Linked DNA regions of Nothobranchius furzeri. The protein of the gene in region 2 interacts with the protein of the main gene of each other region in a pairwise test. Links are inferred from orthologs where the notes say so. Each region holds a gene or a part of one and is shown on either strand. Other genes may lie near its edges.

What was found.
Region 1: the proteins of tchp (region 2) and ndor1 interact in binary tests that used the Homo sapiens proteins (3 or more experiments, as listed by UniProt). The two-hybrid records come from large-scale screens. The link is inferred for Nothobranchius furzeri from reciprocal best matches to the Homo sapiens genes TCHP and NDOR1.

What each region holds. Positions count from the first base shown.
Region 1 is NC_091746.1:70,906,625-70,912,002, reverse strand, and holds part of ndor1 (NADPH-dependent diflavin oxidoreductase 1), read right to left. Parts: coding exon 5,263-5,378; intron 5,171-5,262; coding exon 4,959-5,170; intron 4,887-4,958; coding exon 4,779-4,886; intron 4,703-4,778; coding exon 4,588-4,702; intron 1-4,587. UniProt on the Homo sapiens protein: NADPH-dependent reductase which is a central component of the cytosolic iron-sulfur (Fe-S) protein assembly (CIA) machinery.
Region 2 is NC_091757.1:45,562,502-45,568,623, reverse strand, and holds the start of tchp (trichoplein keratin filament-binding protein), read right to left. Parts: upstream 3,942-6,122; 5' UTR 3,819-3,941; intron 3,762-3,818; exon of another isoform or gene 3,675-3,761; intron 3,536-3,674; 5' UTR 3,532-3,535; coding exon 3,335-3,531; intron 2,476-3,334; coding exon 2,265-2,475; intron 2,174-2,264; coding exon 2,117-2,173; intron 1,796-2,116; coding exon 1,727-1,795; intron 1,462-1,726; coding exon 1,288-1,461; intron 1,210-1,287; coding exon 1,097-1,209; intron 1,022-1,096; coding exon 955-1,021; intron 874-954; coding exon 701-873; intron 619-700; coding exon 537-618; intron 463-536; coding exon 277-462; intron 207-276; coding exon 63-206; intron 1-62. Other genes in the region: gltpa (glycolipid transfer protein), read left to right, coding at 4,756-4,858. UniProt on the Homo sapiens protein: Tumor suppressor which has the ability to inhibit cell growth and be pro-apoptotic during cell stress. Inhibits cell growth in bladder and prostate cancer cells by a down-regulation of HSPB1 by inhibiting its phosphorylation.

The DNA.
Region 1 (5,378 bases), on a different chromosome or scaffold from region 2:
GATAGATAATAGTCTCCTACACCTATCTCCTGCAGTAGCTTCTGACAGTCTCCTACACCTACCTCCTGCAGTAGCTTCTGATAGAAAATAGTCTCCTACACCTATCTCCTGCAGTAGCTTCTGATAAGTCTCCTACACCTATCTCCTGCAGTAGCTTCTGATAGAAAATAGTCTCCTACACCTATCTCCTGCAGTAGCTTCTGATAAATAGTCTCCTACACCTATCTCCTGCAGTAGCTTTTGATAAGTCTCCTACACCTATCTCCTGCAGTAGCTTCTGATAGATAATAGTCTCCTACACCTATCTCCTCCAGTAGCTTCTGATAGATAATACTCTCCTACACCTATCTCCAGCAGTAGCTTCTGATAGAAAATAGTCTCCTACACCTATCTCCTGCAGTAGCTTCTGATAGATAATAGTCTCCTACACCTATCTCCTGCAGTAGCTTCTGATAAATCTCCTACACCTATCTCCTGCAGTAGCTTCTGATAGATAATAGTCTCCTACACCTATCTCCTGCAGTAGCTTCTGATAGATAATAGTCTCCTACACCTATCTCCTGCAGTAGCTTCTGACAGTCTCCTACACCTACCTCCTGCAGTAGCTTCTGATAGAAAATAGTCTCCTACACCTATCTCCTGCAGTAGCTTCTGATAAATAGTCTCCTACACCTACCTCCTGCAGTAGCTTCTGATAAATAGTCTCCTACACCTATCTCCAGCAGTAGCTTCTGATAAATAGTCTCCTACACCTATATCCTGCAGTAGCTTCTGATAAGTCTCCTACACCTATCTCCTGCAGTAGCTTCTGATAAGTCTCCTACACCTATCTCCTGCAGTAGCTTCTGATAGTCTCCTACACCTACCTCCTGCAGTAGCTTCTGATAAATAGTCTCCTACACCTATCTCCAGCAGTAGCTTCTGATAAATAGTCTCCTACACCTATCTCCTGCAGTAGCTTCTGATAAGTCTCCTACACCTATCTCCTGCAGTAGCTTCTGATAGATAATAGTCTCCTACACCTATCTCCTGCAGTAGCTTCTGATAGATAATAGTCTCCTACACCTATCTCCAGCAGTAGCTTCTGATAGAAAATAGTCTCCTACACCTATCTCCTGCAGTAGCTTCTGATAGATAATAGTCTCCTACACCTATATCCTGCAGTAGCTTCTGATAGGTAATAGTCTCCTACACCTATCTCCTGCAGTAGCTTCTGATAGATAATAGTCTCCTACACCTATCTCCTGCAGTAGCTTCTGATAGATAATAGTCTCCTACACCTATCTCCTGCAGTAGCTTCTGACAGTCTCCTACACCTACCTCCTGCAGTAGCTTCTGATAGAAAATAGTCTCCTACACCTATCTCCTGCAGTAGCTTCTGATAAATAGTCTCCTACACCTATCTCCTGCAGTAGCTTCTGATAAATAGTCTCCTACACCTACCTCCTGCAGTAGCTTCTGATAAATAGTCTCCTACACCTATCTCCAGCAGTAGCTTCTGATAAATAGTCTCCTACACCTATCTCCTGCAGTAGCTTCTGATAAGTCTCCTACACCTATCTCCTGCAGTAGCTTCTGATAGATAATAGTCTCCTACACCTATCTCCTGCAGTAGCTTCTGATAGATAATACTCTCCTACACCTATCTCCAGCAGTAGCTTCTGATAGAAAATAGTCTCCGACACCTATCTCCTGCAGTAGCTTCTGATAAGTCTCCTACACCTATCTCCTGCAGTAGCTTCTGATAGATAATAGTCTCCTACACCTATCTCCTGCAGTAGCTTCTGATAAATAGTCTCCTACACCTATCTCCTGTAGTAGCTTCTGACAGTCTCCTACACCTACCTCCTGCAGTAGCTTCTGATAGATAATAGTCTCCTACACCTATCTCCTGCAGTAGCTTCTGATAGATAATAGTCTCCTACACCTATCTCCTGCAGTAGCTTCTGATAGATAATTGTCTCCTACACCTATCTCCTGCAGTAGCTTCTGATAAATAGTCTCCTACACCTATCTCCTGTAGTAGCTTCTGACAGTCTCCTACACCTACCTCCTGCAGTAGCTTCTGATAGATAATAGTCTCCTACACCTATCTCCTGCAGTAGCTTCTGATAGATAATAGTCTCCTACACCTATCTCCTGCAGTAGCTTCTGATAGATAATAGTCTCCTACACCTATCTCCTGCAGTAGCTTCTGACAGTCTCCTACACCTACCTCCTGCAGTAGCTTCTGATAAATAGTCTCCTACACCTACCTCCTGCAGTAGCTTCTGATAAATAGTCTCCTACACCTATCTCCAGCAGTAGCTTCTGATAAATAGTCTCCTACACCTATCTCCTGCAGTAGCTTCTGATAAGTCTCCTACACCTATCTCCTGCAGTAGCTTCTGATAAGTCTCCTACACCTATCTCCTGCAGTAGCTTCTGATAAGTCTCCTACACCTATCTCCTGCAGTAGCTTCTGATAAATAGTCTCCTACACCTATCTCCTGCAGTAGCTTCTGATAAATAGTCTCCTACACCTACCTCCAGCAGTAGCTTCTGATAAATAGTCTCCTACACCTATCTCCAGCAGTAGCTTCTGATAAATAGTCTCCTACACCTATCTCCTGCAGTAGCTTCTGATAAATAGTCTCCTACACCTATCTCCTGCAGTAGCTTCTGATAAGTCTCCTACACCTATCTCCAGCAGTAGCTTCTGATAGAAAATAGTCTCCTACACCTATCTCCTGCAGTAGCTTCTGATAAGTCTCCTACACCTATCTCCTGCAGTAGCTTCTGATAGATAATAGTCTCCTACACCTATATCCTGCAGTAGCTTCTGATAGGTAATAGTCTCCTACACCTATCTCCAGCAGTAGCTTCTGATAGATAATAGTCTCCTACACCTATCTCCAGCAGTAGCTTCTGATAGATAATAGTCTCCTACACCTATCTCCATCAGTAGCTTCTGATAGATAATAGTCTCCTACACCTACCTCCTGCAGTAGCTTCTGATAGATAATAGTCTCCTACACCTATCTCCTGCAGTAGCTTCTGATAGATAACAGTCTCCTACACCTACCTCCTGCAGTAGCTTCTGATAGATAATAGTCTCCTACACCTATCTCCAGCAGTAGCTTCTGATAGATAATAGTCTCCTACACCTACCTCCTGCAGTAGCTTCTGATAGATAATAGTTTCCTACACCTATCTCCTGCAGTAGCTTCTGATAGATAATAGTCTCCTACACCTATCTCCTGCAGTAGCTTCTGATGTCTCCTACACCTACCTCCTGCAGTAGCTTCTGATAGATAATAGTCTCCTACACCTATCTCCTGCAGTAGCTTCTGATAGATAACAGTCTCCTACACCTACCTCCTGCAGTAGCTTCTGATAGATAATAGTCTCCTACACCTATCTCCAGCAGTAGCTTCTGATAGATAATAGTCTCCTACACCTACCTCCTGCAGTAGCTTCTGATAGATAATAGTTTCCTACACCTATCTCCTGCAGTAGCTTCTGATAGATAATAGTCTCCTACACCTATCTCCTGCAGTAGCTTCTGATGTCTCCTACACCTACCTCCTGCAGTAGCTTCTGATAGATAATAGTCTCCTACACCTACCTCCTGCAGTAGCTTCTGATAGATAATAGTCTCCTACACCTACCTCCTGCAGTAGCTTCTGATAGAAAATAGTCTCCTACACCTATCTCCTGCAGTAGCTTCTGATAGATAATAGTCTCCTACACCTACCTCCTGAAGTAGCTTCTGATAAATAGTCTCCTACACCTACCTCCTGCAGTAGCTTCTGATAAATAGTCTCCTACACCTACCTCCTGCAGTAGCTTCTGATAAATAGTCTCCTACACCTACCTCCTGCAGTAGCTTCTGATAAATAGTCTCCTACACCTATCTCCTGCAGTAGCTTCTGATAAATAGTCTCCTACACCTACCTCCTGCAGTAGCTTCTGATAAATAGTCTCCTACACCTATCTCCTGCAGTAGCTTCTGATAGAAAACAGACGGTGAAACTCTAGGATTAGAAGATCCTGACAGATCTACTACGTCACACTGTCACTAACATTCATGGAGTCACCCATCTGGACTCACGACGGGGAAGGCTGTTTTTGGTTTAGCATCCAGGAAACGGCAGAGAACGTCTCAGCTAGTAGAAGCTAACTGTTAGCATTAGCAACTCCACCACACAGCAGAACTCCTCCAGGCTTGTGTTATTTGTGGAGATAAAACATCAACGTTGCAGAGCAGACAGTCAGTGGTAGAGTCGTGTTGCTGTTAGCCAATCAGAGGAGAGATGTCCACAGAAGACCAAAAGCCCTGCCCCCCGAAGCTCAACTCTGATGCGGCTCACTTCAAGTTCCTGAAACAGGAGAACCGGAGCTTTTTCCCCAGAGAACAACTTACTAGGCATCCATTCCTACGAGAGACCACTGCAGACGAGTGAACCACGTCAAAACAAGACCGTTAATCCGATCGCTGGGAAAAAAAATCCTAACATTCCTAAGTGGAAACAAACAGCTCAGATGATCTAAAACATCTAAACTTCCACTATTTTAATCCGAGGATCTAGGAAATCAGAACCAGACCTTGTTGAGGATCCAGAGATGCTAACCAGGAGGAGCAGAGGCCTCGTCTGGGTCTATACAGCTTGGTTTGGTACCGAACCACGGCCACAAGGATCTGCAGCCGGTCTGGGTGGGCCTGTGGAGAGAGGTTCTGTTCTAGATCAGTAGAACTACTCAGACCTGCTCCAGTGTCGAGGAGGAGGCGGAGCTACCTTTAGAGAAGAGGCAATGGAGAAGGATCGTGGCTGGATCTCAGGGAACAGGTCCAGGAGGTGATCCACTCCGAGTTCACTTGTAGTTTGAGGGAAATCAGTCAGAACCTGCAAAACGAGCATCAAACCGGTTCAGAGGCTCCGGACTGGGTCAGCGGTTCTGGACCGTTTAGTCCCCACCTCCAGCGCTGTGCGTCGAGGTCGGTTGCAGTAACCGTGCAGCTCTTCCTGACCGGCCGCTGAGCTGAACTCCATCAGCTTGTCCCTTTCCCGCTCGTCGGTGGCGAACGTTGACAGAAGCTCAAAGAAGGAACGCCGCGGCACAGCGGCGATGTCCAGGTAACGCTCCACCAGGTGGTGCACGGTGCACGGCTCAGGAAGTCCCGCTGGAACTAAGAGGACAGATCAGAGAAGCTTTAGGACCCCAATAATCCCTAAGGAGACGGATTTATCCTAACCCAAACGGTCCGGAACACCGGAGTACCTGCAGCGTTCCCCGTGGGTTTGAGAGTGAAGCTGGATTCTGGGTCCAACCTGAGCAGCTGACAGAAGAGCCGAACATCTGCTGCAGCGTTGTGAGGACGAATCATCACAATGTCT
Region 2 (6,122 bases):
GAAAAGTTTAATTTAACACCAAGGAGCATCTTCTTTCCAGACAGTTTGAGCTGCATCTTTACCTTTTCTTGGTACCCTTTCACGGCCATCTTCTGCATCTCAAGCCTCAGCTGCTCCTCTTGTATCCGAAGAGCCTCCCTGTCCTCCTCTTGTTCACGCTCTCTCCTGCGCTGCTCCTCCATCTCCTCCTGGTGTTTCTGCTCCACCTGCATTAACCATTCAAATGTTAGGACATGTTTGCAAGCGAAAACTAAAAATCATACAAGCAGCACAAACCTGAGCATCTAATTCTTGCATCCTTGTTGTCTTGCGGCCCTCGTGTTGCTCTTTCTCCAGGCGTCTGAGCTCCCTCTCCTTCTCCAACTCCTGGATCAGCTCCTCGCGTCTTTTTAGTGAGCTTTCTTGAGCCTCACGGTTCCTCTGCATTTTCTCCTCCAGTTGCCGCTGCCTCTCCACGAGCACCTTACAAGAAAAAACAGAAATCTTTTAATCCAAAGAATCGTTTTTGAGAAACCTTCACTGAAACCCGGTTTTACCTCGTGCATGAGTCGCTCTCTGGCTTTCTTCTCCTTCTCCCATTGAGCTTCTCGTTTCTCCCACACACGCTGAGCGTCCTCCCTGTAAGTTCACGTGAAATATTTGTTTGCATTTAAACGAAGAAGAACCTCTTCTCTTTTCTTTGCAGAGTCTTGACGCTGACCTGTGGACAGTTTCAAACTCAGCCTCCCTCTCGCGCTCCAGCTTCAGCTGCTCTTCAAGCACAGATTTCATCCAGGCAGCGTCGGCGACCGCCCTTTCCCTCCTCGCTGCCTTCAGCCTTTGGTCCTCCTCCTCTCCCTCTAGCAGGGCTGCCATGATCTTACGGTCAACCTCCTGACGTTCACAAAAGATTTTTAAAAAGATTTTACATAAAACATTAGATATATCTGGATTGAGGGTGAGGCTGATCCGTACCAGCTCCTCCTGCACTTGCTGGGCTTTCCTCCTCAGCTGAGCTTTATATTGACGAATCAAAAAACTCCTGGATGGTAAAGTTAATTATGTATGAAGTTTGATCAGCTTGTGATGAATAATCTACAGAAAGAGCTGCTTATACCCCATTTCAGCTTTTTTGCGCCTGTCTTCTATCTTCTTCCGCTCCTCTTCTATTTTATCTAGCTCCACCTGCTGCATCATCAGAACCTGTTGCTCCTTTTTTAGACGGGAGGTCTGAGGGCATCAACACACCGTTAGGAAGAAAAGCTTTATTTAGACAAGCAGAGATGTTATTTTTGAAGCTGCAAAAACCTCTTCCTCCCTCATCTTCAGTTCTTCCATCTGTTGGCGAAGAGCCTCTGCTCTCCTACGCTCCTCTTCTTTCTGTCTCTCCTCCGCTTGCTTCATCCTCTCCTGCGCCTCTTTTCGAGTCCTCTCGTGCTCGTTCTCAAAGCGCCTCTTCTCCTCTCGTTCTGTCACTTCTTTCTGCATGTTTGATGAGACGGGTTGCTCACATCAAGTGTCAAACTTTCTTAACTATGCACGGCGTTGAGTTGGATTAACCTGAGATTTCAGATGTGATCCTGTGCTCACAGAATGCATAAGCACTTTGATTAAAAATAGATGTGCTACATAAATAATTGGTGATGTAAAAGGATAATGGCAGCTTTAATGGCTGGCTGGACGGATTAAACACTGACATAAACATCATTTGACATGTTTAATTGAACACTCGGGGTGATCATCCTACCTGTTTCTTCTCAGATACCTGCTCCTGCCACCGGCTGACAACATGATCTTTATGTAACGCCGACTCAGCCTGCAGACAGAGTTAAAGACTGAGTTGTGACAGAGGTGCTGATGAACCTGACCCCTAGAGGAAAGGAAACCAGAGCGTTTTACTCTCTAAAGCAAAGGCTAGACTCAGGTTAACTGAAAGTAATGGAACGTGTGCCTCACTAGAGCTATAAGTTTTCAGATCAAATGGACATCTGAACAAAAAGTCTCTGTTTTCCTGGATTATCAGGTCCTTCACACACACACTAGACGTTTACCTGATACCCAGAGTCATTAATCACATTGGTGCAGCCCAGATTTGGGGCTTTAATCACTTTTGCATGAATAGTTCAAACCCACTTACCTGTCGTAATTCTGCATTGTTTCTCTTCCAGTGCTCTCTCAGAAGCTCCTGTGCAATCTAGAAGACACAAAAACAGAGAAGTTACGAGAACAGAATCATACGTGGCAAAACACTGACCATCAATAACAAAAATATTTATGGGAACTACTTTTTTTCTCGTTTCCTCTCTTGCTGAATGAAGCTCTTCAGCTTTCTGCACCATTTGATTCATTCGTGTGGTTTTGTCAGGGACAAGCTGTCGAAGCTCTGCCTCCAGCTGGTCTCGTTCCTCCTGAAGCATGGTTCTGAGCTTCCCTCTGTGTCTCCACAGGAAGGCTTTTCTTTGCTCCTCCTCTTCCAAATGATGGTAGGCTGACATGCTAATAAAGAGTGGAGAAAAAAAATACTTCAATTGTCTTTTGTTGCCATCTTTGTCTGCTGATCCAAACCGTGAATATACAAGAAAAGACATTTCATTTTAGAATTTGGTCTGAAATTATTGACAACAGAGATGTCTCTTTTTTTCTAGAGGGGAAACAAAAGCAGATTTCCAAATATTAGGAAATTCATTACTAGATAGGGCAATATTAAAAACATGACTCAGTGGTTCTGCTATGAAGTCTGCTTCCAAAAAGGATCAAGTCTGTCAGGATTTGTTTGGATCTAAACTTTTCAGTATGCTATGGACCTCCGAGACAACAAATGGGATCAAACTGAATGACTGAGTGGTAGAAGGTGAGCTAACGAGGAAGGTGAAATGGTAAGCTGCTGTTTTCTAGGCTTTTGTAGGTGAGGATTTAGATTCAGAGAAAACCGGACTAAACAAAGTGCTCAGCTGATTTATTGGTTATTAAGTGAGAATCCTTTTTTATTTGATTTCCTTCTAAAATCACTCATGATGACTTGAGTTTTTAGACAGATAAAAATCAGATTAGACTTTATTTACAGTGGAGTTGAAACGATTCTGCAGTCGTCTGAATGACAGCCAGTCCCTTCCCGGTTTAGATTTCCAAGCTTTTGCCTAGGCAGCATCGCTTTCACTCATCAGAGTAAACTATGGGCTATCTCGACCTTCAACACGGATTTAACGGAATGGAGCATTATTATTTACAATCTCATTGAAGGCATCACAGAAGAATCCCCATGCCCTATCTCTTCTACATCACGATGAGGTAGATTTGGCCCCAGTCGTCTCTGCTGCAACAACACCCTCCCAAAGTAAGAAAAAGACGCGCGTGCCTTTGCTGGAAGCACCTCTGGCAGCTCCAGGCCGCCTGCTGCTGACAGCGGACTTCCTGCTCCTTTAGGTACCGAGAATGAAGCTCCCACTGGTGGCGCTGTTGAGCCTCCCTCTCACGACGCTGGACCTTCTGTTCTTCCAGCACCCGGCACCGATTCCTACTGGACAGATGGACCGAGCGTGTGGGAAAAGCCATCAGTCTGAATCACAAGCAACAAAATAAAAAAAAGCAACTCAACAGTTAAACACAGTTACACCTGGCATCACTTGAGATTAGTCTATGGAAAGCCTATATAATAATATAATAGTCTATATCAAGCACAAGACGCTGTTTCTAACGTTTGTGTTAACGTAGATGCTAACTCAGCTGACGAAAACAATGGCGGTTCCTAGATTCGTTTGTCTCCATAAACCACATTTAGCCTCTCAGCAGAGAAACCGTTCAAATAAATCAGCACGTATCATTTGGACACAAAAGCCTACCTTTAAGAATTTAAACCGTCTTCGCTTTTAATTCAAATTCAAACAACCGCTCTCAGGTATTTCCTTAGTTACCAAAGACGGTTTACTCCCCTCCAACGCTACGGAATCAAGCGAAGGCCAAAAGTGTTCATTTCAAGAAACGCGAAAAGATTTTTCTCATTTCGTTTCTTGTCACAACCTCAACTTACGCGCGCTGATAAAACAAACAAACAAATAAATAAATCGGATATAATTAGGTGATTTTTGTGAGTTTCAACACAAAAAATGGTGGGAAAATCTTCCCAGTTTAAATTGTTGTTAGAAATAAATTCAGTCACTTATATTCAGTCAGGTGGAAATTATCAATTATTATTATTATTATTATTATTATTATTATTATTATTATTATTATTATTATTATTATTATTATTATCAATTTCGTTAATATATAATTATTCTGACAGAGACAGACAGACAGACAGTTAGATGATGATGATGATAGATAGATAGATAGATAGATAGATAGATAGATAGATAGATAGATAGATAGATAGATAGATAGATAGATAGATAGATAGATAGATAGATAGATAGATAGATGATAGATAGATAGATAGATAGATAGATAGATAGATAGATAGATAGATAGATAGATAGATAGATAGATAGATAGATAGATAGATAGATAGATAGATAGATAGATAGATAGATAGATAGATAGATAGATAGATAGATAGATAGATAGATAGATAGATAGAGGAATAAATGTCCCATGTAGACTAATTGATCACATGAGCCTGCCGGCAGCTGGATGTCCTTCCATGACCTGGGTTGAAAGTAGGTAACTTGAGTGTGTGAGTTAGTGCGTGTGTGTTGATTCACCTAGTCTTGGTGACACACTGAATCTGCAGCACAGGCTTTGGCAGCCTTTTGCTTTTAGCGTGTGCAGACTACAGAGATGGCTCTGCTGATGGAGCACCAGTTCAGGCAGCTGCCGGCTGACAAACAGGTGGAAACAAGACCCTTTCTGGAGGCTGTGTCTTACCTTCCACCATTCTTAGGTAAGTAAAGCTTATCTTCTCAGTTTTGGACAGTGACCAATAACAAATGTGTGCTTGTGAAATTATGTGAACAAACCTTTTAGATGTCACACACTGCAGGATGCAGCATTTTCCTATATTTGTGGAGCTTGTTATGACAGATTTATCAAGTCAAAATTATTGTTGTAATAAGTAAATAATAAGCTGAATTTATGTCACCGACAAGTCACATCAAGCCCGTAGCTGCATGTTATGATACTTTTACGTGGACATTATAGTTCTAATTTTTCCACTGGTGCAAGTATTGACAAACATTGATTATTCAGCACAAACTGTCAAAGAAGCAAAATCTGTCCCAATCGTTCTTTAAAGGTCACTAAAACAATGTGTCTCAATTCAAATGATTATCTTCATTTGGATCATATTTCTCTCCATCAAGCTGTTCACAATCCGTTAGCATGCATAATTTAATCCACTGGCCTGGATTTAAAGTTGTGAAAATTGATTAGTATGGTGTTGAGTTTCCCTCGTCCATTCAAAGGAGGCTCGCTGCACCAGAGCATCTTTGTGCAACTTCATTCTGTATTAATACGCCAAAGTCCGTCCATTGAATTTGCCATGTGAAACCCTTGAGATGAAACAAGCCTGACACCAGTATTCAACTCTTTCCTCCTTGTGGCCTTTGTTTTTCCTGACCTAGAAATGTCCGGGCCAATTTTCCTACAAGCTATTAAGGTCCTGAACACCTAGTACAAATTGACAACATTGTTTGATTAATTAGGCTTCGTCTTGGCTCTTTGGACAGTACACGACTGACCCACTCACTCCCTATTATTTATTTATTATTGTCTGATAGGTCTTACAGAGAGTTAAGATGTTCCAGTACTGCCCAATTAACACTAAACATATTCAATAGAAACATTTTGATTTGTGACAAAATGAGGCCTGTGAGGACAGTACACTGGAAAATGTGAAGAGAGGCCCACAAGCTTCTGAAACTAGATCTGTATCCTTTATTGTTGTGGTAAAGCGTCACATCTGCACAATAAAGAGGACTCAGTCATGAGTAGTTTCCACTAACAGCTCAGGGCCTGGAAAGATTCATGAGGGTCAACACGAGCTGTGTGGGGTCGGGACTCATGTCACTGATGTCATCAAACCCACTCTCTAAATTAAAGACATGAGATGATAACGACTTGTAAAACTATGACAACAGCTCTAACTAACATAGATTTATTTCATACCCAGTATAGAAATGTAAAAACAAGAACCAAAAATGTTCCAT